Linked DNA regions of Drosophila melanogaster. The protein of the gene in region 3 interacts with the protein of the main gene of each other region in a pairwise test. Each region holds a gene or a part of one and is shown on either strand. Other genes may lie near its edges.

The links.
Region 1: the proteins of Tctp (region 3) and Rheb interact in binary tests that used the Drosophila melanogaster proteins (3 or more experiments, as listed by UniProt).
Region 2: the proteins of Tctp (region 3) and sau interact in binary tests that used the Drosophila melanogaster proteins (3 or more experiments, as listed by UniProt).

The regions. Positions count from the first base shown.
Region 1 is NT_033777.3:5,567,146-5,576,524, reverse strand, and holds Rheb (Ras homolog enriched in brain), read right to left. Parts: upstream 7,605-9,379; 5' UTR 7,486-7,604; exon of another isoform or gene 7,320-7,485; 5' UTR 7,303-7,319; coding exon 7,254-7,302; intron 7,126-7,253; coding exon 7,054-7,125; intron 6,951-7,053; coding exon 6,743-6,950; intron 6,684-6,742; coding exon 6,554-6,683; intron 6,498-6,553; coding exon 6,408-6,497; 3' UTR 6,034-6,407; downstream 1-6,033. Other genes in the region: CRMP (collapsin response mediator protein), read right to left, coding at 112-350, 600-746, 1,027-1,089, 1,150-1,284, 1,536-1,612, 1,672-1,862, 2,059-2,122, 2,185-2,263; CG2931 (uncharacterized protein), read left to right, coding at 8,004-8,912; CG12746 (uncharacterized protein), read right to left, coding at 9,165-9,379. UniProt on the Drosophila melanogaster protein: Binds GTP and exhibits intrinsic GTPase activity. Activates the protein kinase activity of TORC1, and thereby plays a role in the regulation of apoptosis. Stimulates the phosphorylation of S6K through activation of TORC1 signaling.
Region 2 is NT_033779.5:2,224,652-2,237,132, reverse strand, and holds sau (sauron), read right to left. Parts: upstream 10,792-12,481; 5' UTR 10,065-10,791; coding exon 9,852-10,064; exon of another isoform or gene 9,828-9,851; intron 9,770-9,827; exon of another isoform or gene 9,529-9,769; intron 7,868-9,528; coding exon 7,740-7,867; intron 7,677-7,739; coding exon 7,558-7,676; intron 7,496-7,557; coding exon 7,320-7,495; intron 7,256-7,319; coding exon 7,007-7,255; 3' UTR 6,034-7,006; downstream 1-6,033. Other genes in the region: Tengl3 (testis EndoG-Like 3), read left to right, coding at 1-1; Sec24CD (secretory 24CD), read left to right, coding at 592-825, 1,234-2,205, 2,265-2,724, 2,783-2,898, 3,156-4,023, 4,086-4,876, 4,945-5,085; CG15387 (uncharacterized protein), read left to right, coding at 10,928-11,074, 11,132-11,335; papi, read right to left, coding at 11,893-12,389, 12,448-12,481. UniProt on the Drosophila melanogaster protein: Phosphatidylinositol-4-phosphate-binding protein that links Golgi membranes to the cytoskeleton and may participate in the tensile force required for vesicle budding from the Golgi.
Region 3 is NT_033777.3:11,204,908-11,214,491, reverse strand, and holds Tctp (translationally controlled tumor protein), read right to left. Parts: upstream 4,246-9,584; 5' UTR 4,112-4,245; coding exon 3,593-4,111; 3' UTR 2,594-3,592; downstream 1-2,593. Other genes in the region: ZnT86D (zinc transporter 86D), read left to right, coding at 364-544, 616-1,035, 1,125-1,624; SdhC (succinate dehydrogenase, subunit C), read left to right, coding at 4,693-4,694, 4,752-5,265; cu (curled), read right to left, coding at 6,036-6,245, 6,311-6,943, 7,011-7,132, 7,237-7,299, 7,354-7,586. UniProt on the Drosophila melanogaster protein: Involved in calcium binding and microtubule stabilization.

The DNA.
Region 1 (9,379 bases), 5.6 Mb from region 3:
CATACAAGAATGTGCCTTCCAACATTCTCGAATAATTTGCGGAACAATGGTTCCCTCTGACATTTACGGTCCCGGCCCGGAATGTGAACCCAGGCAACAGGCAGAACTTACTTCGCCAGCAGCTTCATCAAGAACTCGGGGGTCGTCTTGTCGGGCCGCAAGGGCGGGCTGAGCACATGCGCAGCCTCGGCGTCGAAGCCCAAGTGCTGGCAACAGGTGGCATCCGTGCCCAGGGCCGCGGCCAGGGTCTCGCCCATTATGTATCGCCCGCGGTAGCGGTGGCGTGCCCTGGCCAGCTCAATGCCCGCCGACTTGCTCATCACGTGGACCACGTACAGGGGACAATCGGCCTAGGTTATGTTTTTTTCGTGGGGTTATATCGAGTGCCGCATACCGCATAATATGTACAGGGTGCATCATACACAATGGAAATAATAGGAAATCAAAATCATAAATAACATACATAAATAAATAAACCATGATTACAGTGCGCGGCACAGTGCACAATGGCACTCAACCGGCATGGACACACTCCGCCTCCTCCTTCCTCCCTCTTCCCATCCATCCCCCACTGTCTGGCGACATGGGAGTGGTCTTACCTGGTGGGCCAGGACGCAGGCGCGGTGCACCGCCTCGGCCTCGACCTCCTCGGGCCGCGACAGCTCGTGACCCTCCGGACCATTGATGCCCTCGGCCAAAAGGCGCTGCGTGTTCTTTGCAATGATGTCGCCATTCTCCGCGTGGACCTGTGGAAGCGAATAAAGTTGTACTACAAATGGATGCATGTGGATGGTTGTAAAAAGTGCAAGAAGCTAGCTTCACACAAAAAGTGCATCAGTACAATAATCGAACCTATCAGGAACTTTTTTCCAATGTACATCTTTTCAAATTTGTTTACAATATATTTCAATAGAATTTTAGAAAGGACTTGGCCTGATGGATGTATCCTATTAAACAGGAAATTCCTATGATTTCTTTTGCTAGTCTTGCTTTAAGTTAGATTAGTAATGGTCCAAGTAGCTTTACCATAGCAACCCCATTTAGGTGCCTGATACGCTCGAACACATCCAGAAGGTCTGAGTCATTCAACTAAAATGGGAGTAAGACCATTAATTATGAAGCAGATGCGTTCCATTATAGCAGACTTACCTGATAAAGTCCTTTGTAGGCCATGAATGTTTTGAAGGAGTTCACTCCAAGCTCTTTGCACAGAATGCCGATCTCCTCAGACACCGACTTCGACCACCAGGTGATGCCCACATGCAATCCGTAGTCGCAGCATACCTAAATAAATATTTATATTGATTACATGCCAAAATGTATGTACTCATAGATTGCTCGTGATTCAACAAACCATATCCGTAGCAAGAGCTTTAATCTTGATATTTTATATGGTATAGAGCTATATGTATGTTTAGCTAGCATAAATGAGTAACAAAGCTAGATAGAGAATTTCCTAGTTGCTTACTAACTTACTACTCCCTGATACTTGGATTTGCTTGTGTTTAAAACAATATACACCCTACACTTCTCACCTTAGGATCGGCCCAGCTGCGCCACTTGTCGTAGGCCTCGATCATCGACTCATGTTTGTTGGGCAGAACGAAGTCGACTAGGGAAGTGGACAGGAATAAATGAGTACATTTCAAACGCTTTGATAATCCTGCTTACTGATCATGGTGGTGCCACCTGCCACGGCGGCCTTGGTTCCATGGTAGAAATCGTCGACGGCCACGGCTCCGCCGAAAGGCAACTGCATGTGGGTGTGGGGATCGATGCCTCCGGGAATGATCATCAGTCCGCTGGCGTCGATGGTGCGCACTCCGCCAGGTATCGTTATTTCCGAGGAGGGACCCACAAACCTGGCAATAGGATAGGGTGGTTGAGTAAAATTTCCGTGAGTCATGCCAACGCTCTATGTCTATTCTTTGTCTATTCTTGGTCTAGATTTGTCTTTCTCGCTAAGTCGAAGCAGAATCTGCAGCTTTACTTAACACTTCACATGTAGCTTGGACTTGGACTAGAGAAATTAAAGTGTGTAATTTCCGAAATACTTACTTGATAATTCCATCTTCGATGTACACGTCCGCTTTGAAGGACTTGTCATGGTTGACGATCTCGCCTGCAATGGAATCAGTGTTTTAACTCGGTTTATTTCCCCACGGGGTCGAATAATGAGCTTACCATTCTTGATGTAGACGCGATTCTGGGCACTCTGCAAGTGAATCGGCACCTTCTTAACCGGTTTCGGGCTGGTCGACATGGCAATAGTCTGTAATCGAATGGGTTCCGTAAGTGAATCTGAATGTTGGACTAGACTGGTGAGGGTTTCCCCATTTCCCACACACAGACACGCGAGCTGGTGTTTCCATCCATACACTCGCTTGGGGTTGTTGGGCCTTAGGTGGTGGCTGTGGCCTATGACTCATCATAGGGGGCATCGCTCCAGGACAGGCTCGAGACACGTGCCGCGCATTAAGCGGCGCAAACTGAACTCAAGCACATGCACTCGAAGAATTATCAGTTCGATGCGGTACATAATATCTTATTATTAAGATGGAAGTTGAATTCAAGTGAACGAGAAACCGCACAATTGAGATGATTGCAATAGGTTAGTTAGCAACTAAGTTTTGTTTAAGCTCAGCTTTTACGTTGGTAATACTCCTACAAGAGCTGAGAAATGACAATATAGCTACAGTGTTCATTGGGTTCGAGTGCACGCACTCGTAATCGTAATCGGTAAGCATTTGTGCTGCGGGGTGTTTTGGGTTCGTTCGAAAGGGTTGACGATGCTGTGACCCACAGTGCAGCGACACAAATGTCATTGCAGCTCGTTTGTCTTTTCAGCAGATTGGTTCCCCCACTCGAAGACCGTTTTGTTCCGCCGGCAGACACGGAACCCAATGCGACGTGGTGCGGTAACTGCACAACAGGCGGAATATTAATGTTGCGCCTAAGCCGTTACAAGGGCCATCTTCCGACGTCGGCGCTGCAGTTTTAGCCCAGCCAACCCAGTCAGCAGTCAACCAGCCAACCAGGCCAGCGGGCATTGACCCCGTACTTGGCCGGTCTTCCTCTCAAGCATTATGTATTGCGTACTTGCTGTTGATGTTGGTGCCGAGTTGCGATGTGGCGAAGTGACGTACTGCGCCCTCGTCACACACTCTTCCACATTGGATCGGATGTGGCACCAGTGCGGTGGCTACAGAACGGCATTGACGCCAAGTTCGAATTGTGCCACACGGGCACTTTGGCGAACTGGGAAAAGAGAGCAAGCCAGGAAAAGTGCGGTGCGGTAAAGGTTTGTTGTGGTACCACCCCGTGACTTGTTTCTTACACTTGCGGTCAATGGGCCAGAACCCCACGGGTGCGATGAAGTATGCATGTGGGTTAAAGTGATTTGTCTTACGACTATTGGCTTCTAAAAAACAAGTATGGGCAGAGGGACTTCATTGACGGTGTGTGCAGATTACATAATCAGTAACAACATCAGGTTTATTGTATTTTGGATAATATATATTAGTTTGATCTTATTATAAAGAACTTTGCTAAATAAAATATCTTTTTATTTATTGATGATGATTTTGTATGATCTTTTTCATTGCTTCAGTTTCAATTTTCATTTTGGTCGAATAACTAAAATTATACAGCGAACGAAGTCCAAACTAGATTTTTTCTGAATGTACTTTAGCTGCAGCATATTAAATTTGATTTAGAAACTACTGCTTCTACCGCAAGTGTGTGTGTCTGCAAACTGAGTTGTGGTAATGATTATCGGGCTGCATGACGTGTTGGAGGATGGCTACATTTCATTAGTTCAATTGCGACTGGTAGCTCGGCAGTGGGATTGGATAAGTGAGCACTTTCCCCTTTTGGCGGCGCACATCCGAGCACAAAAACCCCATCTGCTTGGCTGCACTGATCTAGATCTAGACTATCTTTTAGCATGGCTACATGCATACGTATGTATGTACACACATATATGTAAATACGCGGAAGGAGTGTGTTTAAACATACATAATGCACACAAGTGGGCTCGCAGGTACATAATGCAATTAATGCAGCCGCATTAATGCGGGGAAAATGTGCTAAGCTCATTCGCTGTACGAATTTTGTGGGTCGCTAGTTCTCTTTAATTTGAAAAATGCAGTTGCCTCACTGGCACTTGCTGTGCCAATTAAGCACTCTAACGGGACTCCCAGGCCAGCTTGATGATAAATAAAAATACTATTAATTGCGGTCAGTTAAGGTCATCAAACTAGCGAGTTGTTGGTAAGGAAAATACATAAGTATAATTTCAATTTGTTACTCCATTTAGATTGTGTCTTTAAAGCCAAGGAGTAATGTGTTTTAATTTGCAAATAAGAGCTTCAACGATATTTACAATGTAGTATGGACTGATTTTTCATTTTGTGAGTTTAATCCCCTGATAGCACAATCGGCAGGTTTCACTTGTTTTGTGGGCTTGCTGCGGCTTTTATGGGCGCTATAAAATCGCGACATATCTTATCAGCCATGGGCCCATCCCCCAGATGGGCATAGCCTGGTTCTGTAGATCCACCACCACCACCAGGGGGTATGAATATTGATACGCGTGCAACACTTATCGCCAGTCAGCTAAATGAACCTGGAAATCAAACATATCTGCACATACATATGTAAGCTTTGGTAAGTACGTCAATAACATCTATTCCGTTGCCATCTGAAAGCTCCCATCTCTAATCCTGGCCAGACATCGCCGCCAAGTGCGAGTGCCGGTTTTTGCAGAGTCCAACGACTCGCTGACGTTCGTTTGTTATTAAATCGATAAAAGGCTGTGGCCCGTAAAGGAAGCAACAAGAAAAGCCAGTACCCACCCATTCGGATTCCGATTGGGATTCCGAGTCGGAATCGATGAATGTATGTGCATTGCACCTGATTAGCGGGTTGTAAGTGCAGTTGTACAAACATGCCTATCCACATACATATGTACATACAAATGTATAGAGATTGCTTACAAATCGTGAGTGGGAAATGCCGTCACAAAAAACTCGCGGTGTTGGAGATTCGAAATAACGGTCAAACATAATGATGTACATATGTATACCATTATGCGAGAGCAATAAAATTTGAAAATAGAACAAAAAACTGAGAAAATACCCACGCATTGCGCACAAGTATACACACACAGACCCAGCCAAAGTCAGCCAAAAAAACAATTGCAATACAGAAAATAGAGAAGAAAAACAAGCTCGCTTTCTTCTGCATGGGGAACATTCACATTTAATACGAATCGCTCGCTTTGGTAAATTACCGTTAAAAGGCAAAGATCTCACACGATTTAAATGCTGAACGAGTTTAATTTTAACGCACGCACAAGTTCGCTGTTTGAAAATCGGAAAACATTTAACTCTCGGTCCGATTGGAACTCGCGTTGTGGTGGATTTGCTATTTTCGTGGTGGGTTATGGCAGCTGACAGTTAACAGCACTGTTAGTCCGCGCAACGCTCTGTTAGCCGGCATTTTAGATTTAAGATAAGTAAGACAAGAAATATTTTTATTCATAATCGGTTTAATGCGAAATAATTTCTATGTCTTTTTTCTATAATCAGTCTTTAGAAATATTAAGCCAGCCAAATCTTAATTCAATCAAATTCGTCCGACCAATTGTGACATAAGAAATAGCGGTATTAAAATTTAAAGACCCCTTTTTTTGCTAACAGATGCAGATATTGCTAGAGTGGCCAGGTGAGTCTTTCAGTTTATCCAAATAGTAATTTGGTTTGAAATTACTCTTATTAAGAACCATACCGAGATCCTCCCAGTTCTTTTACTTGCTGAACCTTGGTCTCCAGAGAATTCACAACGGTTGGGAATCTATAGAAATCATTAAGGTATTGGTCCTATTTAATCAGTTATAGGGACGAGATAAAGTAAATCCAGCTTTTTGGAATTGCAACTGGCAGGTCTTCTCGACGCACTTGTAACTTTAGTAAATCAACCTCTATATTTTTCACAATCGAAAATGTTGACCATTAAAATACAATCTTGAATAGTATTTTGAAAAATTATATTTAAATTGAAACTAAAAGTTTGCAGAATTTGTATATGAAATTTGTAACTGAATTGTTGTTGTAAAAAAAACGTACTAACTTAAACCTGTTGTGTTGCGCCAGACGCGAACCACAAAACCTGCTGGGCAGCGTTTAGCGGACGCATTCAGATCGCTTGATATTGGTTACTTGCTGTGTGGTCTTAAGAATACTAGGTCTATTAGATTTTTAGATTTTCCTGCTGCGCACAAAGGGTACGGCCCCGCCATGCACGCTGACCCAACTGTGTAGATAAGAGATAATCGATTTTCGTATTGCCATAGCGATTTGCCGTATTTCCAACAGTTCGGCCGTAGTTTTAGCTACTCAGCCGCCCTACGATACAAGACAACCGCTCTTCTCCTGGGGATTGCCGTTCTCGTTTTCGATGAGGATCAGTAGCTGATGGAATATATCTCCCACGGACTGCGAAGGAAGTACCTTAGTTGCATTCAGCTAGTGTGATTCGTCTTGGTACTTGCCTCGTTCTGTTTGGCGGACGTTTCGAGAAATGCAGCTCGCCAGGACTCGGCCAGCTTCTTGCCTTCCTCCGTGGAAACGGTTCGTTCCTGGTGGAGATCGATCTTGTTGCCGACCAACACCACAGGTACACTGAAAGGCAAAAAAGATTAGCTTAGCTCTCAAGCGGAACCCACGGGGAAGAAGCCTACTATTTCTTGCCCATTACGTCGAGCAGTTTTTCGTATATGATCTTCACCACCTCAAAAGACTTTTGGCTGGTTATCGAGTACACCAGGACGTAGCCGTGGTAATCCATGCTGTACTGCACCGGGAATATGCTGTACTCGTCCTGGCCCGCCGTGTCGATGAGCTTTACGATGTAGTCTTGCGACTTTACACGCTCGATCTTGGTGAAGGCTGCGAATGGGAATTACCGATCATTACGCATTGCTACTGCTATCGAAGCATGGAGTCAGCCTGGCTTCTAAGAAATCCGCACGGAATGGGATGTGACACTTACTGTTCTCAATGGTGGGGTCATAGGAGTCCACGAACTGGCCCTCCACGAACTGTATGCATAGCGACGATTTGCCTGCGGGCGAAGCGTAATTATTATGGTCAATTGATCATAGTTCTTGCTGTTGTCGAAATACTACGCAATTACCAGTGCCAGCAGCAACAGTGTCAGTGCTTCTGGCGGAACTTTCTGGGAAAACTCACCCACTGATCGGTAGCCCATCATGGCTATGTGGCGCTCCTTGGTTGGCATTTTCCTGGGGCCCAGTGCTTTGAAATAAATGGAGAAATTTATTGGTTTTGTGATTTTCCACACTTTTGTTTTTGCTGTCGCCCCTCGACTTTTTGTGCGCTTGTGTGGGTATGCCCGTGCTCCTTCTTTAAATGTGTGTATGAGGAATATTGCTTCTGCGTTTATTTTGCTTGCTGAGGATACTTTCTATCACAGCTAGAGCTTTTCCGGCGATTTTAATTCCAGTATTATTTATCAGATCGTCTAAAAGAAAACAGTAATTCTGAAGTTGAATCAGTGCTGGTGTCGACGAAGCCGAAATACCACTCCTAGCCTACTAACATAAGGCATTTGCCAGCTAATGAGGAACCGTCACACTACACTATCGTCTACTAGTTTAACGGTCAACAATTGCAGAAAATATCAAGGCCCGTTCGGAAAGGTGCTTGTCGTAATCAAGTGTAAAAAGTCGCAGTTATTTTCTTAAATAGTTAAAACATATTAAATGTCTTCGTTTTATGATATTAAAATAACTGTTTTATTTGTTATATATTGCAAATAGAGCCTGATTCTGTGGACATGTCTAAACAGGCCTTTAAAATAAAAATAGTGCAATCGATTGGGAACGAAATCGATATTTGTTTAGTACTCCGAGTTTTCTGCAGCACTTTCGTAAAAACTTGCTTTGATTTGATTTTTTAAAAGAGAAAACCCCACTTCAAATGGGTACAAAGCGTCGCAACATCGAGGATGAGCTCTCACGCTTCGAGGCGGAGATCTCGAAGCCCCCCGCCCGCAATCTCTTCGTGCCCAACCAGGTGCGCCCGATCATAGCCGCCAATACGTACCAAAACTCGCAGCACAAGCTGCAGCATCACCAGGGCAATGGAGGATCGCGTCTGACCGTACCCCCGCCCCCGATGCCGCCTCCACCCACGTTTATGTCCACCTTCGTGCCTACGGGCAGTGGAGGTGGTTCTTCCAAGGCTATGTCTGCCACTCCCGTAGTCCTGAGCAGCGCCCCCAAACTTTATCAGTGCCGGCAGTCTGTGCACGTGCCCACCGTGGCCGCCGCGCCCTCCATCGACATCAACGCCGTCTCTTTTGACGTAACGCAGAAGCTGAAGAAGCTCAAGGCGGAAAAGTCTGGACCCAATCCCATTGCAGAGGAGGCCATTAAGGCAGCGCGCGCATCATCGGCGCTGCAATCCTTCCAGACAACAGAGCGGAAAAAGAAAGACCGCAAGACGGTGCGTATCGCTGGCGGCACCGTGTGGGAGGATACTTCGCTGGCTGACTGGCCCGACGATGACTTCCGCATCTTTTGTGGTGACTTGGGAAACGACGTCAACGACGAGGTCCTGACCCGGACCTTCAACAAGTTCCCCTCGTTTCAGCGGGCCCGTGTGGTGCGGGACAAGCGCACGGGCAAGAGCAAGGGATTTGGCTTCGTGAGCTTCAGAGAACCGGCCGACTTTATACGGGCCATGAAGGAGATGGACGGCCGCTATGTGGGCAGCCGGCCTATCAAACTGCGCAAGAGCACGTGGCGACAACGCAGTCTTGACGTAGTTAAGAAAAAGGAGCGCGAAAAACAGGTGCTTCTGCAGGCCTTCAATTCCATGACTTGAATCTGAGTGTGCATATCGTGTCCTTTAGGCTAGTTTCGGTCACTTTGATGTAGCAAATTAGATTTGGATGTTGCTGCTAAAGATGAGCAATAAATTTACGTTTAGCAATTGACGCGCTTAGTTTTTATTAACAAACCCTACCCATCCTATTACGAGGTAAACCAGCAGCACATTTTTAAATCAGAAATTGTCTAATATGTTTAAAAACCTTAAACGGGAAAGCAACACTCACAATAATATTACGTAAAGCTTTTAGTACCATTTGGACTCCTCCTTGTCAGCGAGCAGAGGTCTCCGCACCGCATCCCCACCATCGAGATGGTGGGGACCACGACTGCCATTGTCGTCCTTTCCAGACAGTCGCTGGTACTGGCTTCCCTCTCTGCTGGGCCACCTGACCAGTGGTATGCCGGCATCAGGGCAGAAGATGGAGGGATAGTATTGTGTGTAGCTTATATAGCCTGCAA
Region 2 (12,481 bases), on a different chromosome or scaffold from region 3:
AACCCCTGAATGTAAGGAATATTTTGATAAAATTGTGAAAATATACATATTTATTTTAAATGTACTTTGATTATATCTTATTCACTTATTTATTTTAACCCAACGTATTTAATGACGTCACTGCATTCTATTGCACCACCTTACACATAACATAACTCGCAGCTGTTCGCTAACAGCAGCGCTGTTAAGTTCAACACGATTATCGATTCGGCGATGGCAGCCGAAAGAGCACAATCGATTGACATTCGATTTTCCACTGCCGATTACCGATAGCTTACGTGGCAAGGCAAAAAGAGCAAAAAAGATCGAATTAGGGAACTGACGTGGAAGTTCGTTTAGCTCGAAATTATTCTTGTTTTTCAACCAGCGATCGTCCGCCGCGGCCGTCGAGAGTTGAGGCCAACACCGAGTGGCCAAAATCGAGGAGTCAGTGGTCAGGAATCAGGCCGAGCAGCCCCCGAAATTGCTAAATCGCCGTGGCGAACTTTGAGCCAATCCGTGTGTGTTTTCTCTTCGTTTTCCGTGAAAGTTGTTTGTTGGCTTAGCGTCGACCCTCTCCGCTAAAACCCAGGTGATTAATCCGGGCCAGAAATGAATCCGAATATGTACGGGCCACCGCCCACGCAGTTCCAGCAGCAACCCCAGTTTGGGGCTCCTCCTCCGAATTCCGGAGGTTGGCCACCGCAGCAACAACAACTACCGCAGCAGCAGCCGCCGCAGCAACAACTGCCTCCGCAGCAGCAGCAACAACAACCACAGTACGGAGCACCACCACCAACGTCGGCGGCATCCCAGCCTTACCTCAATGGCAACTACCAGCAGCAGGTGAATAGATAGCCTTAACCATGGCAGCTTTGACGAGAATCGGAAGACAATCCGGTTGCACACGTCAAATATATGTGTATTCCCTTCAGCTTCATTCTGGCAATAGCCTATTGAGCTAGTCGATAATAAGAATAGGGTTAGAATCTGAAAAGCATTGCAGAATTACGTTACTCTTTTGAACCAATTGGCCACCTTGATATACAGATATTCAATGGGAAGTATCTCAATGACGCACAGGAATACCTAAACCAAGACAGTATTTTTAAGTTTAGAAATTTCGGCTGCGAGCACTTCATTCAGTAAAAGAGGTCATCCGTGATTTCATAATAGAAGAGTGAAGCTGAGCTTGTAGATAAGAAAAATGAAGTGAAATTAATAAAAAAAAAAAAAAAACATTCTCTCTTGCAGTTGGCCACGTCGATGGGAGGTTTGAGTGTGGGTGGCGGTGTCGGTGGGGCCAATCCCCTGAAGCCACCACTCCCCCAAGGAGCTCCCGCTGCTGCGGCACCACCGCCAACCGGTTTCAATCAGTTTAACTCTAATGCAGCACCTCCTCCGACCAACAACAACAATGCTGCATTCGGTGCTCCACCACCGACGCAAGCTGGAAGTTATGTCAACGGAGCCCTACCGCCCAGCAGTACTCCACAAAGCGTGGCCAGTGGGATTAATCAGATGAGCTTGAACAGCGCCACTTTGGCGGGATTGCCGCACATGCCGCCACCGAAAGCGGCAACGCCGGGAGCAGCACCTGGTCAGCCTCCGATTCCAGCAGCTGGATCTACTTCTCAGCCGCCTCTACCCGGACAACCGCCACTTCCCGGACAGCCACCCTTTTCCGGTCAGATTCCCACATCCCAGCCTGCCCCAAGTCCGTATGGAGTACCGAGCTCACGACCGGGTCAACCCCAGCTACCTCCTGGAGCCACTCCTCCAACTTACACGCAACCCGGATTGCCACCTCAGCAGCAGCAGGGAATCCCGCCATTGCAGCAGCCAGGGATACCACAGCAGCAGCCGGGATTTCCCCCACAGCAGCCTGGACTGCCACCACTATCCCAACCCGGGTTGCCTCCGCAACCAGGAGCGCCTTACGGAGCTCCCCAACAAGGCGGATATTCAGGTGGCTTTCCAGGTCAGGCTCCCGGAGGCTTCCCTGGAGCACCTCCACCGCTTCCAGGTCAGCAAGCAGCTGCTCCGCCGCAATTCGGAGCTCCACAACCTGGTTATCCGGGCCAGCAACCGGGCTATCCCCCACAACCCGGTCAGCAGCCGATGCCAGGATATCCGCCACAACCGGGACAGCAACTAGGAGGACCAGGATATCCACCTCAGCCAGGTGCCGGTTTTCCAGGTCAGCCAGGACGTCCTGGCTTTAATGTAAGTCATGATTATTATTTGTAACAAGGTTTTAACTAATTGCTTTATAACTATTTTAGCAACCTCCCATGCCAGGAGCAGGAAATATGTATCAACAGGCTCCGCAGGCACGACGCCTTGATCCCGATCAAATGCCCAATCCCATCCAGGTGATGATTGAGAACCAGCGATTGTCTGGAGGACCGTTTGTGACCAACCAGCCAGGATTGCTGCCTCCATTGGTGACCACCAAATTCGTGGTTCACGACCAAGGCAACTCTTCACCCCGCTTCCTGCGCTCCTCGCTCTATTGCATCCCCAACACGGGTGATCTTTTGAAGACCACAGCTCTACCCCTGACATTGAACATCTCGCCGCTGGCCAAAGTTGGCGAGGGGGAAATGGAGCCACCGATTGTGAACTTCGGCGAAATGGGACCAATTCGTTGCAACAGGTGTAAGGCGTACATGTCGCCCAACATGCAGTTCGTGGATGCCGGCCGCCGATTCCAGTGCCTGATGTGCAAAGTAACTTCGGAAGGTAAGCGATCTTGGGCGCAATTAATGATGCCTTAATTAAATGTTGAACTATTTTGCAGTTCATCAGAACTACTATCAGCACCTGGATCACACTGGACAGCGTGTGGACAAGCATGAAAGACCTGAGTTACTGCTGGGAACTTACGAGTTTCTGGCCACCAAGGATTACTGTCGGGTAAGTTATACATATATTGGAAATACTACTAATAATATTTCTAGACACCAAAATGTGGTGCTTTTAAAAATAGCTATTTTTGAAAATGGAACAGCTTTTCTGAACATATTCCAATAAATATGTTGAACATATGGCATGTTTGTTAATAGATCATGTATTTCCACAGAATGAAAATTTGTCTCGGTTGTTTTTAATGATAATCATTTTTAGAGTAGATACACACTAAACTGATTTTTAATTATTTCCCTTTGCCGCAGAACAATACTCCCCCGGAGGTTCCCGCCTTTATCTTCATCATCGACGTCTCCTACAACACCGTGAAGTCGGGACTGGTTCATCTGCTCTGCTCCCAGATCAAGAACATACTCAAGCATTTGCCTGTCGACCAGGGTCAAGACAAATCCAAGGTGCGGGTGGGCTTCATCACGTACAACAGCACCGTGCATTTCTACAATATCAAGAGCAGTCTGGCCCAGCCGCAAATGATGGTTGTGGGCGATGTCCAGGAGATGTTCATGCCCCTGCTGGATGGATTCCTGTGCCACCCAGAAGAGTCGGCTGCTGTAATCGATGCTCTGATGGAAGAGATCCCTCGTATGTTTGCCGACACCAAGGAAACCGAAACGATTCTGTACCCTGCCATTCAAGCGGGTTTGGAGGCACTGAAGGCATCGAATGCAGCTGGAAAACTGCTGGTGTTTAACTCAACGCTACCCATCGCGGAGGCGCCTGGCAAGCTAAAGAATCGCGATGATCGGAAGCTTCTGGGAACTGATAAGGAGAAAACCGTACTCACTCCACAAACCACTGCATATAACACACTGGGCCAGGAGTGCGTCCAGCAGGGTTGCTCCGTGGACTTATTCGTGTTTAACAACGCCTACATCGACTTGGCCACGATTGGGCAGGTTTCTCGGCTGACTGGTGGAGAGGTGTTCAAGTACACCTACTTCCAGGCGGACGTGGATGGCAAGAGACTAATACAGGATATCATTAAGAACGTATCGCGACCGATCGCCTTCGACGCGGTGATGAGGGTGCGGACATCGGCTGGCATTCGACCCACGGAGTTTTATGGTCACTTCTTCATGTCCAATACAACTGATGTGGAGCTGGCCAGTATTGGTATGCAATCACGGCTACATTTTGGTTTTATATATGTTAATAATATTCCTTTCGATTTCCAGATGCCACCAAGTCGATAAGCATTGAGATCAAGCATGACGACAAGCTGGCACCAGAAGAGAACGTGTACCTTCAAGTCGCACTCTTGTACACCTCGTGCAGCGGCCAAAGGCGTCTGCGAATTCTTAACCTTGCTCTGCGCGTTACAACAACGATTGCGGATGTCTTTAAGTGCTGCGACCTGGACGCGATGATGCTGTTCTTCGCCAAGCAGGCCTGCTTCAAGTTGATGGAGCATTCACCCAAGCAGGTGAAAGACAACCTAATCCATCGATCGGCGCAAATCCTGGCCTGCTATCGCAAGCACTGCACCTCGCCGACCTCCGCCGGCCAGTTGATTCTTCCCGAGTGCCTGAAGCTGCTGCCACTGTATGCCTCGTGTTTGCTCAAGAACGATGCTATTTCCGGCGGTTCGGACATGACGCTAGACGATCGATCTTATGTTATCCAGTTTATTCTGTCGATGGACTTAAACCAATCCGTCAGCTACCTGTATCCCCGTTTCATTCCCATCCACAACGTTGTACCCGAGGAGACAGATCTGCCGACTCCCGTTCGCTGCACGCACGAAAAGACGCAAGAGGATGGCGCCTACATCCTGGAGAATGGAGTCCACCTCTTCGTCTGGCTGGGCCAGGCATTGTCGCCTGATTTTGTGCAGTCCGTGTTCGGCGTTCAGGGTCTTCAGCAAATAGCTTTGGAGCGGTTTAACATTGTTCCAGAAACGCCGCTGGCCAAGCGCATACACGGCATCCTAGAGCAGATCATGAAGGAGCGCTCGCGATACATGAGGGTGCGTATTTGCAGTGATCAAATCTTTGCCTTCGTGGAAATGTGTAACGATCTTAATCTTTTCTTCAGATAACTTGGTTGCGGCAGAACGACAAACTGGAGAGCGTGTTCCGACACTTCCTCGTGGAGGACCGCGGTACAGACGGTTCCGCCAGCTACGTGGATTTCCTGTGTCACATGCACAAGGAGATTAAGGATCTGCTGAGTTAGCACGCCGGCTACTCCGGCACATACAAGCCCGAGCAGCGATGGGCGGACAGTTATTCCCAAAACAGGGCTCGGATGCGTCGTCTGTCGTCCATGCGCAGTCGCCTCGGAAAATAAGAAATGCAAAGGGTTTAGGATCAGAAGCAGAAACTGGCGCTGAAAGCTGTTGGAACTTCAATTATATTTACATCAAAATACATATACATATATATTAATTAATGGCTATCATTTCGAGCGTATCAATTCTTCCATTAATTTTATTAAAGTTTTCATATTTTGCTTTGTTTTACTTTATATATATATATTTGTATGTATTTTTTTTGATCGGCTGCGCTAGAAACGAAACATTTGTTAAACGAGGCAACTGCTTATCTGCAAAATTAGAAAAAAATTATTCTCTTATAAAATTCCATGAATATGTTTAATTGTAATTACAAATTACTTGCAAATTTTCCACAGTTGAAAACTGCTAGTTGATTTAACGGATAGTATAAGAGCACTTCTTTGTTCACATCCTTTTTGGCCTAATGTATTTTTGCAATAATTTGTGCGCTGCGCCCTGCTTTTTATCATACTTTATGTCATTGAAAGATTATTATATTATAACCTAAATGTTTCGTGTGAGAATTACTCGACTTATATGGTATATTGCCCCTTCAACTATCGAAAGAAATGCAAACACTGCAAAACAAAAACACATTTATTGAGAATGAAAAACGGAATAAAAACTGTATTAAAAAGCGAATCAAAAATTGGGCTATGCTTTCAAGTAGATAAGTTAAATCGGATTGGTCGTCACACCGGAAAGAATCCTATTTCTCCTCCGACGATTGTCCACTTTTGCTTTCCCCCTTTTATTAAAACTCATCACCCATTTTTCATTAAATGTTTTATATTTTTCCTCTGATTTATGGAGGGGTACAACCGAAATTGCAATAAACTTTCAATTTTGCGTCAGTTATATATTTTATATTTGTATTTTATTAGGCCTTTAAATATCTAAGAATTAGTATTATTTGACGTGCACAGTTTACATTTACATAATTTTTCTTTTCTTGCTGTCCACTTCTTGTCGTTCTTTATTTTTCTTTTAGCAGTTAGAAAAGGTTTTTCAACTTCAATGTTCCCGAAATTCAATAACAATTTAAATTAAAACATTGCCTAGATTGAATGTCGCTCCGTGTCAAATTGTCTGCATGTCTGTCTGTTCATGTGGGTGGGTGCATACTTAAGGTCGAACGTACTAAGGTAAAATTGCGGAGCTCGAGAAACGTTTTGAACTGATTTTCTACGCGCAATCGAATACATGGAAAGGGCTCGAAAATACTTGACAATCAAAAATAGAATTGAAAAGTTTTGATAAAATATATATAGGATATTTGACAATAGACAATCGCACGCAGCTTGCCCAGACTTTATCAAAGTTTTCTTGTTGGCGCTTACAATTAGTGCTAGATATATAATTACAAAAACAATGCTGCAGCTTTAAATTTTCCATCATACATTTTGATTTGCATTGCCAGAGAAATCATCAACTAAACTCTATGTGTCGTGGAACACAACTTACTGATTATGATTGCAAAACATTGGCATGTATTATTATGCTCAACAGAACAGGAAAAAATTAAAGGACAATGGAGCGTTTGATTGGTATTATTGAAGTGTTGATAAACATATGTATATTTAAATAGGAATTATGGCTGCTTTATAGTCTCGCTTAAAAAATATATATTACTGAAACAGATATTTGGGGTGGTTGCCATTTAAGAAAATCCTATCGCCCGATTCGGTTCCACTCACAGCAAAGTTTCTAAAACAAAAGCAGCAAAATGTATTCCAGATGTGGGTCTGTATTTCTGTGTTGGGGTGTGTGTTGTGTGTGTGTGTGTGCTATTGAGAGGAGCGTAGAGGATCAGAGGATCGTCTATTTCGTGAACGCCATGAACACCGCCCACAGAATTTCGTTCGCATTCGGCTTGGCCGACTCGGCTTCGAAGTCGAGATCCAGCAGCTCCCGCACCCGCTTCATGGCCACCTCATAGTCGTCATCATTCAGCGGCGCGAAGGCGTTCTCGATCACATCGCTGGCGTGCGCCAGGAAGATAAGCGCCAGCATCCGCTTGTCCATGCGCTGTGGATCGTTGACCCACTTGGAGAGCACAGAATCTTGGATCTGAAGTCATACATTTCGGATTCAGTTTTAGAATTCTTGAATATATCCAAGTCTAGTTACGCACCTTCTTCACCAGGCGACATTTGACAACATTGTCGCTCAGCGGATGTGTCGTCATATCGAAGAGTAGAAAATTTTGCTTTTCCGTCGTGAGCACACCCTTCTCCACCAGATTTTTGGCCAGACGTTCGCGTACATTTTTCAGTTGGTAGCGCAATTTCAACGGATTCCAGGTTTCACCTGCCACAACAATAGGTTATACAAAACATACTTGGCGAAATGGCAGGCGCCTAAATACACACCACTAAGATATTCAATCCAGCTCTGCACCGTCTCCGGGGGATCTGTTTCCTTAATGTGTTTAAGTGCCTCATCGAGTAGAACGTCTCCCGTCTGCTGATCCGATTTCAGTATTAATTTCCTGTTGGCGAATTGAAGTTAGCATGCTTCTGAAAGGATGTGGAAACTAGATTTCTATACATACCTTGTACATAGACCACGTCGCCGCATTCCAGATTTCTCGATCATCACGCGACCTCGCAGTCCAAGCTCTATGAGAATGCATCCGCGCAAGCCGCTTGATATGCAGTCGTTCCAGAAAGATGTGTAGCCCTGAAAGTAATTAAAAATGCTATTAGATTCAAGCTATTTGATTGGCCTGGATGGGCATCTAAAAATAAGAATGTGTGAATGCGTTACTTGTTTATTTTTTAAAATTTTATTAAATTCTATCTAACATAAATGTAAGTACAAACTTCATTAACAAATGGTTACTGTCTCATGTTTCAAGGTTTTGAAATATATTTGAGCAAGTCTATGGTTTGGCCTTTTCACTTGTGTTGGGCGTAAAAGAAATGAATAATTACCCTGTTGCCGGGGTCGTAAAGCTCCCAGACGAAAGTATTCAGTTGTTAAAACATTAAACACTTGAGTTTGTTTAGGCCTTGCCCACAGAAGTGTATGAACTGTCAATTTAAAAAATACAATGCTTATCTAGCTAGTATAAATGAAAAAACGAACAAGAAGAGTTATGTTATAACCACATAAAAAATCAATTACAAAAATTACTCTTGTTATTAACGCTTGAAAAGCTATGATAATTGGAAGGTATAGATAGATACCTCAACCACGTTTCAATGCCATTTCACGATTTTAAAATAATTTATATAACAATCGCTCAGATGATTGATAAGGAATCGTTCCGAACGAAAGGTATAAAAGTGAATCATTTGCAAAGAACACGTCGCTTATCAGTTCGGCAGTTCGAGATATTGAAATTTTCCTAATGGATGGTGTGGGTAGAAGCCAAGTACTTTGTATAATTTCGAAAATGAGTGACGTACTGACATAAGAAAAGCCCGAAACGGATGAGAGCTAGGCAGAGGAGAGCAGCACTTGATAGTATGTACTTCCTCAAACAATTAACCAAATGGACAAAATCTTCGCGATAAGAGCGCTCGGAAGGGGAATGTAAAACAAAAGCGGGCAACACGTCCCACTGTTTCCAGCTCGTATCCCTCTTATGCGAAGGGAGAGGAGGTGGCAGGGATGGAGGTGTGGGTGGTCACACAAATACACTGCGGGCAAAATGATGAAAACAAATAGACGTGGTGCCAGCCACAAAGGCACATGTGTGCATTCCTATGTGGTACAAGCGAACAGCAATTGAGCGATAAAGCTGTGTGCCAAGTGAAATATAAAAACCGAATTCAATGGAGAAATGCGAATCTGCCTGTTCGCCATAATGGGTCACGTATGGATGATGGTTCGCATTTACGGACATCATCCCGCGCTATACGTAGATTTATGAATATTACAAACCTATGCAAATTAACCACTTATTGGAAAACTCGTTTGACGAAACCGTTCTCCGTGCTGCGCGGAGTGAAGTTCTCGAAGAGATATGTATGTATTTATAGCCACAACTGCCAACCGAAGAAGTATTAGAGCGCTATCTTTCCAACAACTAAGAACGTTGGCAACAATTCTAAGAATCTTTTTGATTTGGCACTGGAAGCAATTGCGCGATAGTGTAACACATAAAATAAACCTATTATATACTATATATAAATATATCATCACTTATTTGGGAAGTACATCAAAGTATTACAAAGGGCAAGTAATGGGTTCTATAGATTAGAATGAACGGCTGATTAGACCTTAACAGATGGAGCACACTATTAATTAATGCAAAAACAAAAGTGGTTAAGAAAATGGTGTTGGCAGTCTCACTGATTGCGCATTAGTCAGCAGGCTGGTCAAAAGATTTCATAGTGCATTGCTTAACAAACTGGAAAAGCTAAGAGAAGTGGCTAAGACATGGCATAAAATGTTTATCTGTAGGACAGATAAACATTGTTGCCCCCATAACTGAAGTGATAAGTTACCCCCCTGTATCCAATTTTCACTACGCCCCTGCTGGAAGATGGACTGCGTTGCACTTGGGGCCAAGCAAGAGGTTGCGAAAGAGAGAAATCGTGAGAGCGACAGAGAGAGAGAGACGTCGGTTAACAGGTGAAGAAGAAGCACTTATGTTGCGAAAGAAACCAATTAATTAGTGCATCCCAAGCAGATAAGAGATAAGGAGCACACCCACCTCCTTGTCCTTGAGTCCCAGCAGCAGAACCTCCTCCATGAGCGTTAGTCGTGTTTCCTTGGAGTCGCCATCGTCGATATTGTCCTCCTGGTCCTTTAGGTTGTCCAGTGCATCCTGGTTGTCGTCCGGCGTGTTGGCATTCAACCCACCCTCCGCCCCACCGTTTTCGCGGGGTTTCACCGAGCGACGCACCAATCCGTCGGAGCGATTCATTCCGGAGAGTTGGGTTGGGTAGTCGGGAAGTTCGGATCGATGGAGTTTTGGAGATGTGGGATGCGAGCGGAGCACCTATGTTTTTCTGCTGCTGCTCTTCTTCCTCTTTCCTCGTTTTGTGTGTGTGGCACAATTTGCTGACTCGACGTTGGGAGTTTCACAGTGTGTGTGTGTGTCTGTTTGCGCGAGTGCGGGTGTTTGCGTTTTTCTCTGTGTACTTGTGTCTTGTGTTTTTGTGTGTTGTTGTTTTCACTGACTCTTTTGCGCCCCCTTTATTTTGTATTCTTTTGCACACACGCACTTTTCACACTATCGCAAAAATGCAGGCCCTAAACTGCGTTTCGTTGTTGCTGCTTTGCTCGGCGTTTTTGCGCTGGGAACTCGACGGTTTGATTTACAATTTGGTGGCCCGTACTAATGGTGCATTTGCATTGGCCTTGCATTTACTGGGAATATGCGAGTGCCTGCGCGAAATAAGCTTTTTCCTATTATTTGTGTCTTTTGTCGACGTTCCGACGTGACATGATTTCCGCACTTTTCAGTACTGGCAATTTTCCAGACCTTAAGTGTTGGATAACGTTTTGCTTCTAGAGGTGCTGTTAAAACGAAATTAATTTAACTTTTACTCTTAATTTTTTGTAATTCAGCTTAATTTATTTAATCGTAAAGTTTTTGTTTGAATGATATTACAGTTCCTTGTCCATACTAAGGGTTTGGTAATGTTATGAATCCGAACCGATAGTTTGTCCGATAGTTGTAATCGCTGTATGACTCATCTCTAACGGAAACACAAAATAAAACCTACTACAATTTGTTGCATTTTGCCTAAATTCGTCACAAACACTGCCGTTAAAACGTTTATAATGTCCTACTTGACCAATTTCAACAGTGATACTGCCAAGCAAATTCTTATGGACATAATACGCTGTGTAAATCAGCCGGAAAACTCGAAGAAACTCTCAGAGGCAAAGGCTTCCGCTGGAAAAGAGATGATTCTCATGATGCAGCACGTAAATACCAAGCAAATCAAAACAAATAACCAAATAGTTTAACATAATACATTGCAGGTTTTTCCATTGGTGATGCAACTCCAACTGGAGGTCATTAAGGGTCATGGGTTTCCTGGAAACCGCGAGGGATTAGTCCAGTTCTCCCAGCTCATCAGAGAAATGGAAAGGGACGACATGGAAATCGTACGCCTGCGCAGTCAGATCCGCGCCATATACCTGCCCCCCATAGCTATAAACACCACCAACGACATCCTAATCTAAGCGTGGGGTAAATCCCCCAAACAAGACTGCAATTCTGCCCCCCGGTGGGTTTTTTAATATACTTTAAGCGACTTTTAATATTTGTAGCCCTTTTCATTTGAAGAAACTATATTCATTTTCAATTATGCCTTAACGTCATCTAGAAAATCTTATTTTCAAAGAATATTGAAATACTTCTCTAATACAGATTTCTGAAACAGGCCACCAAAATAGACTTAAGCTTGATATTCTTATAAAATGCATTTCTTTTGATAAGTTTGTGATCTTTTTTGTGTATTTTTTGTTGATGTACAAATGTTTTTCTTGTTCTTGCTAACAATAAGTAACATGGCAAAGGTTGCTATAAACAATTAAGGATCTGTGCCGTTCCATCGTCAGCTTTTAGGATCTAGGATATGTCGATCAGTCACGGCGATAAATTAAACAGTTTTCTTTCGTACCTATACAATAAGTTCCTTAAGAGCTATACTTTTATGTACACGTCAAGTAGTGAGCTGCTCGTCCAGCCTTCATCTTATAAACAATTAGGCGAGGATAATTAGTAACAATGTGAAATCCTAATGCGCGCTAGCACCATTTGTGGTGCTGGCATTATTGTTATTCCCGTTTTCGAGGTCTGTAGCCGTCAGTTTAGCCGGATTAATGTTTTTTATGTCGTTTCCGTTCAGTTTATGCTGCAAATGCTGCAGCTGCTGGGCGAGGTGCTCGTTCTCCGCCTGCGTAATGCTGTCAACATCAATGGACATCGACATAGGTGAGTGGGGCGTAAGCGGAGTCACTGGATTGCTGACGCACAACTCCTCAATGGTGGAGTCGCTGTTACTTGAGGGCGTCGAGGAGCGTGACCGCACTGGATACGAATCGTCCAGGGGCAGAGCAAAGCCCTGGGTGATCATCAGATCGGCAATATTTAGTTCAGAGTTGTCGGCTGGATCGAATAGTTCCACTCCGGGCAGCGGGGTTCCCTCCTTGGCAGCAGCACTTACAGCGGTGGTTGCCCGTGGACGCTCCTTGTAGGTCACCACTCGAGCAATCAGCTTTCTCCAATGTGCCACTACAAATGTTCGGTGTTTAGTCAAAAATATATCTAGCAACTGTTGCTGAAATCATACCCTCTGTCAGCTCTTCGAACTTTGCGATTGAAGA
Region 3 (9,584 bases):
CGGGAGTTCGGTTCTGGTATCTGGTACCCAGTAAAAATGAATTAAGCTGCAGCTGAATCGCAGATCGACGAGCCCGCGCCGCACAACTGCGCACACAAGACGACGACGACGACGAAGTCGCGCAGGAAGCATTTTGCTTGTGAGATAATTTGGGAATCAAAGAAAAGAGACCTGCCGCCGCCGCCGTTGCCGATAAAGATTCTCGCGAACCCGGCCAGAAGCGGAGTGGGAATCACGGAATCAGCTGGAGCGCGGCTATAGCCAACCGATAATACCACGTATGCAAACAAAGTGTGCTTTCTTAGTTAGGTGCTTAGATCTCATGTTGGTCTCGTGCTCTTTTGCAGATCCATAACCGGCAAGATGATACCGCTGTCGCACAAGGACCGGAGCAGTCTGGGCTACCGGATCCGGGAGAAGCTCAACAGCTGGAAACGACTCATCTTCTCCGACCGCAACTCCCGGAATCTGTTCCTCTTTCTGCTGCTCAACCTGAGCTTCGCCTTCGTGGAGCTCTTCTACGGCATTGTGACGAACAGTTTGGGTGCGTACTTGGCCACTAATGGCTTTTTATCTTATCCGCAGTTTATAACCTACTTGATGGTTAATCCGCAGGCCTGATCTCCGACTCATTCCACATGTTCTTCGACTGCACTGGCCTCTTGGCGGGACTGGCCGCGTCGGTTATCACCAAGTGGAAGGCCAACGACAAGTTCTCCTACGGCTATGTGCGCGCCGAGGTGCTGGCCGGCTTCGTGAATAGCCTGTTCCTGTTGTTCATAGCCTTCTTCATTCTGTCGGAGGGCGTGGAGCGACTTATCGAACCGCCGGAGGTCAAGCACGAGCGTCTGTTTGTCGTCTCCGTGCTGGGACTGCTGGTGAACCTGGTGGGCATCTATGCCTTCAATCACGGCGGACATGGACACTCGCACGGTGGACACGGACACTCCCACGGTGGTGGTCATGGGCACGGGCACTCGCACGGCCACACGGACGCCGGCAATCACAATCACCAAGCCATCACCTTGGACAATGGTAACTGCAGTTGGAGATTATATCTTATTATATTGACTAGGAATGGGACAATATTCTAATAACCCCTTTTTAAATCCGCCCATTTCTAGGCCATGGACACTCACACGATCACGACAGCCATGGCCACTCGCACGGCGACATGTCGGGCAGCAACTCGCAGATCATGCGCGGCGTCTTCCTGCACATCCTGGCGGACACTTTGGGTTCGGTGGGCGTGATCATCTCGGCGGTGCTGATGCACATGTTCGGCTGGATGATAGCGGACCCCATTTGCTCCATCTTCATAGCCTTGCTGATAGCGCTCAGTGTGCTGAGTCTGATCAAGGAGTCGATCATGATCCTGATGCAGCGACAACCCGCCGACCTGGACCGATCGCTGCCGCAGTGCTATCAGAAAGTCACCGGCCTGGCTGGCGTTTACGCTGTGCAGGAGCCGCACTTCTGGACCCTTTGCTCCGATGTCTATGTGGGCGCACTCAAGCTGGAGGTGTCCAAGAACGTCGATCCCAAGTACGTGGTGACGCACACACGGATGATCTTTGAGGCGGTGGGCGTCAAGCAGATCTACATACAGTTGGATTATGTTTGATGCCAATGGGATCGACCCACCGGTGTCCTTGTACAATGATCTGTATAGTTATCAGCGCATGTTGAATGTTTGTGGGCAGTGCGACTCAAACATTATGAAATTTTAGTATACTACGGCGCCACAATACCCCGCCCATCACTTCCGAATGTCCCCTCCAAGAGCTAAGTAAAAGAAAGTGTTTGATTTTCAGTTGTACTTTCCGAATTTTTGTTAACTTATTAACGTTTGTATTTGTTGAAATGCGTTCGGCATTCATTCCAATTCTATACATACTGAAAGCATGGCATAACTTATGCAATAGTCCATATCGAGGAGCATTAGTGTAATTGTAAGCTAAGCGAAAGATTTTGTGCAAAGGTAAATATAAATATTTAAAGATTTTTTAAAATTCAGCATGAACAAAACCAGAAAATAGCAACTAATTCTGACTGACATTTCCATGGACATTCCGCCGTGCGGTGGAAGTGCATTTGGTGAATCGTTTTTGCCACAGTTTGAAGCATCAAAATTATGAACGAAATAAAATTTAATTTGTTATTAGCATTTTTATACGTAAACCGAACTGAAAGAAGTTTTAATTCCGGTTGGATGGGTACTTATCATTCGTTTTTTGTTGGGTACAAACAAATAACCAATTAACATATTCGATTAGATTAACCTATTTCAATTATTTACAAAAGATTCCCATTGAAAATAATCTGCTATTGAACTGCCCAGTTTACTACTTCTTTACAAAAATATAATTTAATTTGAAAGACCACAAAATAAACCAGAATTGTATAGCTTGTTGTTCTCCTTATTGTTAAAAAGTTTTCTTGGAACAATACTCCATTTCAACAACGCTTCATAAGAATGGAAAGGTACATAAATAGACACATATGTATGTATATTAAAAACCATTAAATTCAACAATGTATGAGAATAGCGAAGAAAAACTTTTAGCTTTTTATCCCGAAAATGGTTCTATTTCAACTAGATTCAAATACTTGAATAAAATATTCTTTACAATTTTAGGAAAATATATTGTGCTTTTCAAAAAAATTGTTTTCGAACATCAGACAATATCGCCGTTCGCCCTAACGAGTGTCCACTGTGCGCATCTCTCACGCGACGAACGGCAACAGGTCGACACGTTTCGCTGAAATGGAAATAGCACCTGGGGCGCAGAGCCCCGCCCTTCAAGCAGATAAAGACGTACGTATTGCTTGACCTGGAATTAGATTATAGAATCCCAAATTCCAGCGAGAGCGGCGCATTTCATTAGCATGGTTGAGGTTAGGGCGAAGCCAACGTGAGAAACTGGGGCAAGTCGAACTGCAACGTGCAGAAAATCGTGTTCCACTGCGCATGACCTCCAAAATGTCCAATGACGGTAACGGTATTGGTGCGGGGCATGTGTACATCACTGTCAAAGGTCAATAACTCCGCGATTGCCCCAAAAAGCAGCAACAACACAAACTAACTGAAGTCTGTGACTCAGACGGTGGTGGCGCCCTCTCGTTCCCACTCACGCCGCCATATGGCGGCGTCTACCTACGCATAACTGCAGATTTGGAAAGAAGTACAGACATGCGGATTCACAGTTGTTTTGTATAGGTGTTCCGTTTAATTTCAGTACTGGTGTTCCCATTTTCGGTCTTCGTTGCTTTTTGATATCTTAGCGAAAATGCATACTAATTTGTAGGTGTTGCTATCAAATTATTATTTTAATTACAATAGGTGGCGCAATTGAATTGTTTAGCTCGCTGTGATTAAACAATAAACATACAATGTCGAATTTATAAGCGCTCCGGTAAAAAGAAATTAGATATAAAATCGCACTGATCGAAGACAGGCATTTTTGTCAGCGTTTTTAAACATAAATTTAAGACTTTCAAAATTGTAACTAAGCATCTGATAAATATGTATATGTGTGTAGAAGGTATGCATGAGTATAGGTTCCGTTTTGTTTGGGGGATTGGGATCCATCTAGCATTTCTCCTCCTCCAGACCGTGCTTGAAGAACATGAGCACGGGCACGCTGTCGCCGTTGATTTCGCGGTATTCCACCAGGGCCACCATGCCGTCGCAGTCCATAGATTCGCCGGTGAAGAACTGCAGCTCCTTGAAGCGGCCAAGGATGTCCTTCATGGCCTTGTTCATGTTGGTCTTGAAGATGTCGACCTGGTCGGGCGACTTCTCCTCCAGCTTGGCCAGCACCTTCTTCATGTAGTCCTTCAGGTAGAGGGTGTACGACTTCTTGTCGCCGAAGGCGAAGCACTCCGTCAGTCGGTGGTTAAGCACAACATCCACGCCAGACTCCGAGGTGATATCAGTGCCCTCGTCGGCCTCCTCGGCGGATGCGTTGGCGCCCTCCAGCTTGATATCGTCACCCTGGCGGGTGATCAGCTTTCCGTACACCTCGTAGATCACATCATCCACCAGCTTCATCTTGTAGGTGTCGGCAAACATCTCGTCGCCGGTGATGATATCCTTGTAGATCTTCATGGTGATTGGCTTGTCGGGAGTCGGAAGATGGCGTCTAAATCGCTGGCGAAAATGCAACTACAACTGCACCGGACCGGGAACACTGCGAAACGACCTGCCACGCGCTCACTCGAACAGCAAAAAGAATGAGCGAGAAAAAATGGCGAAAGAACTGCCAACTCGCTTGGGAGTGGTAACGATTGATCCGGGAGTGGCAGCGCCTACTATACACGTATCGATAATTTCAATGTTTTCTTCGATTTATTGTTAGTTAAGAGCAGGGAATATTAACAAGGCGAACAAAATTATTATAGCTATAATATTGATGTTTCTTACGTATATTTATGGCCATTCTAACTTTTAATAATTTGAGACTGTTTCAGTAAAAAAGATAAATATGTGTAATATTCTCAATTGGAATAATATAAAAGTGGGAACAGAATTAATCATATAAAGTAATAACAATGTTTTACAGTTGATATAAAATCAATACTTTCGAGACTTATTTGTTTTTTACCAACGTAGTGGCATCCCTGTTTGCGGTAATATCGCGCAGTCAGTGTACGGTCCCATCAATACAAGTTCGAGTGAAAAACAGGGAAATGTACGTAATTTCTGTGATGGCACTGCAAAAACCCTGATTTGTGACTGCTTTTTGCAGGTATGCACTCTCCAGTTCTTTGATCCGCTCTCCGGCGCTGCGCCAGGGCCTCCAGATGGCCGCTGCCAGCCGCCCGGTATCGATGAAGGTGGTTTCCGTGGCCGAAACCCAGAAGGACGAGTCGTTCTTCGAGAAGAACGAGCGCTTGGGCAGGGAGCTGTCGCCCCATCTGACCATCTACCAACCGCAGCTGACCTCCATGCTCTCGATCTGTCACCGCGGCACAGGATTGGCCCTGGGTGTGGGTGTTTGGGGTCTGGGATTGGGCGCTCTGATCTCGTCCCACGACATTAGCCACTATGTGACCATGGTGGAGGGCCTCCAGCTGAGTGGCGCCACTCTGACCGCCCTCAAGTTTATCATCGCCTATCCGGCTGGCTATCACACCGCCAATGGTATTAGGCATCTCCTCTGGGACACCGGACGGTTCCTGAAGATCAAGGAGGTTTACTCCACCGGTTACGCAATGGTCGCCACCTCTTTCGTGCTATCCGCTATCTTGGCCCTGCTCTAAGTCCAAGACCCCAGCTAAACCTATTACATTTTAGTGCGAACACTGTGTGAAAATTGTTATATACTAAATACATGTAGTGTGTATATTTATAAAGGTGTTTGTTGTGTTACGCAATCCATTTTGTTGCTTTGGGCGTGCTGCATACGTTTGTTGTGCGCTGCAATTTGCACGGTGTGCGTGTTTTTAACGATTTCGGTGATTTGTAGAGTGAATTCAGTGTGGAGGCCGGTTAAATAGACATCTTGCGGTCCATTGACAGCGAAATCAAGTATACGCCCCGAACAAGCGATTTCCGATAGCAGAATATTACTTACATGCGCCCAAAAGTAGGGAATACTTTTTATAGGCTTAAATTTACATGAAAAATTAAAACCAAATGCAAAAGGGCTCCGAAAATGTATTTATTTAAGAGTAGCTCTTTGGCTTCCCTAACTATAGAAAAGTCTTCTAAAGATCCTTTTACTTCGGAACTGAAGAATCTTTTTATTAGATGGGGGATTCAGTTCATGTACAGAATCTATATAAAATATGTATATCCTTAATTTTGATTTTTAAGAGGTCATTGTTATATGGATAGAAAATGCAGTTCAGTTAACTTTCTTCCATACGTTGTAATTTATTTATTGTGAATTTTGGATTATCATTTGTAAAAGCTGCAAACTGTAGTGCAACGGTTGTGTATGAGGCTAATATGTATCTAACAACTAATATCACAATCGATGTAATGTTATTGAAACTTCTTTTTCGGCAAATTATGAATCTGAAGCTTTCTATTGAATGGATCCATGCTTGCTGCCCTCCACTTCCGTTTCATTTTCACCATCGCTCCCACTTCCGCTGCCGCTTTCCTTTCCGTTTTCCGTCGGAGGCAGTAGCTCAAAGTCACACACCAGGGAAAAGTGATCCGATGGATATTGGAAGCTGGGTGTGCGATTCTTGCCAATTTGCTCTCCGGCCGGAAAGTCTAGACAGTTTTTGATCTGAAATTGGACATAAATATTGTTAAATAAATTGTAACCGCTTGCAACTATTTCAGAAATCCCACCTTGAGGCGATCGGGTGTGTAAAAGACGTAGTCGATGGTGTGACATTCCTCGCCCTCTTCGCGAATTTTCCAGGTGGTGTAGGGTGGCTCGCGTTTCATCGATTTCGCGACGAACTCACCGACATCCGCGTTGGGATGTAGTATCTCCTCGCGGTCTAGCTTCACGTCGGCATAGGCGCTGCCCAAGCGGAGGAGATCACATCCCAAGATCGTGGCATAGATGGGCTCCACCGGTTCGGCATTGAAATCGCCGCAGAGCAGCAGCGGCGTATCTCCGGCAAACTGCTTCACAAACCTAATGAGATCACGTCCCTGTTCGTTCCGTAATTTCGCCAAAAGGGCGCCATGGCGGGCCTTTAAGTGGGTGGTGGCCACACAGAATTCCCGACCACTGGATCGCATACGCAGCCGGGCCGCGATGGCCACCTGGTTGCTCTGCACCCGCCACACTTCCAGGATCCTCGTGTCGTATCCCTGCAGCTGCAGTTTGTCCCTCTTGTAGAAGATGGCACAGCCATCGGGTCCATTGTTCTGCTCGATGTACAGGCACGGGGAATCCGGTTTCGGGAAGAAGATGCCTGCGTAGTTCTGGCTACCCAACACGGTCTGCAGGAACTTGAAGTGGTCTACCTCCTAATTGAATATATCACATTTAAGTGTGACTGTCTTGAAAATGTTGGGTGGGCTGATGTGAACATACTTGCAGACAAATCACATCGGGCTGGTTCTGCAGAATCTCCTGGACAATCAGGTACTTGCGGTGCTCCCAGGTGAGAGCCTCCTCGGGACAGCGCACAAATCCATCGTTGTGCTGCCCGAGAGCTGGGTTTCAGATGAAGAAATCAAGTTAAATGGGATAGAGTTAAGGTATAATAATGCAAATTCTTTAAACATATATAAGCATATAAATATTTTTAGGGACATACTTTGTGATAGGATGTTCCACTGCAGCAATCGAATGTCATCACCCTCGACTGGCGCACTGCAAACTGCACAAATAGATTAGAATATAGCCCTCGGATAAGACAAGGATGCAATCCTACCCCTCGACACGGAATTCAGCTTGAGGCATCGCAGTCCGTCGGCTACATCCTCGTCCGCCAGCAGCGGTTTTAGGAAGCCGCGGGTGAGCAGCGATGGCTGCTCGATGCCACCGCCACGCAGTTGCTGGACATGCTGGAGGAGAGCCGGGGTGCTTAGACCGGAGGGCAGTACCAGGCCATCGTCCTGGGAGTCCACATTGTTGATCTTTGGGGCCGAGTTAAATGAACCCATTCTGGAATAGGATTAGGTGACTCAATTAGTTTACAGCCGTTGAACAATTAACTATATAAAAACTCGACTAAGCGAACGTGTTTAGCACTCACTATTCGATTATATTTTGCTATTTCAAAACACAAAGATTGAGTAAGTCTTTAAATGTGTTTTCTTTTAGCATTTCAATCAAAAACAAATTGATAAAAGCTTCTCGCAACAAACAAACAACTTTCAGCGAATAAACACCAAATAAACAACATCAATTAAATACATATTATTTCACATTTTCTGGTACTCACAAAGCATTGGGTTTTCTATATAGAATTTTTCTCAGTATTATGCTGAAAATGAATAGACTATGACTATGACGCTGACTCGTATAAAATTGTCCCATTTTCACTTTGCTGCAAGGAGTTATTTGAATGGAGTAAGTGTTTTGTGTGCAGGGAAGAAAAATATTAAGAATTGTTAGGTTTTTCAATCAGATTTGATCAATTTAAAGAACACAAAAAAAAAACACAAAAGTGAATAATTTCGAAAATGGGGAATTGGAACAAGGAGTTATTGATAAAGTGCTCAATTATTCAATCTGTCACAATCAACTAGCAAGCTTAAAACCATTCTCAAAAACTCTTTCTCAACTAAAGATATATTTTCTATTCTTTTCAATCATTGTTGCTAGGTAGCTCATAGCAAAAAACTATCTTTTAGTTATGGATGGAATGCATGATTTCACTTTCATTGATCATTGATTCCTTTACCAAATGAATCTGACTTCCTGAAGCTGGACTCAATCACACTAATCTGCGTAGCTCACAGCTAAAACATAGTTTTCATATTGCTGGATAGAACGTTTCTGGTTTTCGTGTGCCTAAGCTTACGGCAATTAGCACATATGCTCCGATTCTAAGAAGATTACCGGACATTAGAGCGGGGTATTAGATGGTGTAGCGGGGGTAAGGGGTGGGAGAATCTGGAACGCCCACGCGACGATAATCCCGCGAAACAAAAACAAAGGCGAAAATGTCGCTCGGTCAATAGCTTCGCAGCTGTTCGTCTGGTTTCCAACGCTCCGCGAGAGAATCGAAACCAGTTCCCGCCGGGGATTGGGATTGAATGGCGAATGGCGACTGGATTTGGGGCTTACGGGCTTCGGCATGTCACCGCAATCAATCACCCGCCGCCGGTGGATCAGTTGTCCCCCCATCCCACATCTCACATCTCACATCTCGGATCGCAGCCCATCTCACCTGGTCAGCATCACTTTTTGCAGATAGGCCTTGCGATCGTTTTTGCAGGGCGCCTTGTTGGCTCGCTTAATGGGAACGGCTGGCTCCATGTCTGCGGCAGGATCAAAGGATTTGGATGTTTTGGATTTCGAATGTTATTTTTTTTTTAACTTATGTGGGATATGTGAGGTGGTGACTTTAGCGATCTTTGGGGGAGCCGGAACGAGGTGCGCTTGCAAGCGACTTTGGCGAAACTGAATGCCAACTGAAGTGCGGGGTTTTATTAGAGAGATCATTCGCGCTGGAGGCAGCGAAAAGATCGCGAGGAGAGCACGCACAAACGGGTATTTCGCATACGAGATGTATCTGCAAGATACAGATACCGATACCGATACAGATACCCCCAGAACGAGATCAATACGGTTCGGCTCACGTGTGGAGAGCTCCCGCGCCAAAATGCTAAACAAAAGAACGATTCTATAAGTACGTCGGACCGACTGGCTGTCTGTTTCGCTGGCTAGCTGGCTGGCTTGTTAAATATTTATGGCTATCAGTTAATGAAAACAAAAGTGCTGTATGTATGTATGCCTGCATGCAAAAAAAGTGGAGAAAATAGCAGCCAGCATCCTTAGATAATCAATGGCGCTGTTGTATGCCTAAGCAGAATCCCAAATGTTCTCAAATGCAAATTGCGCAGACAAAAGATACAATTGTATCTGCACAATTTATACAGCAACGCAGTTACATGCCTAATGAGCTGTCCGCCCAAGCTATATAGTACCTATATC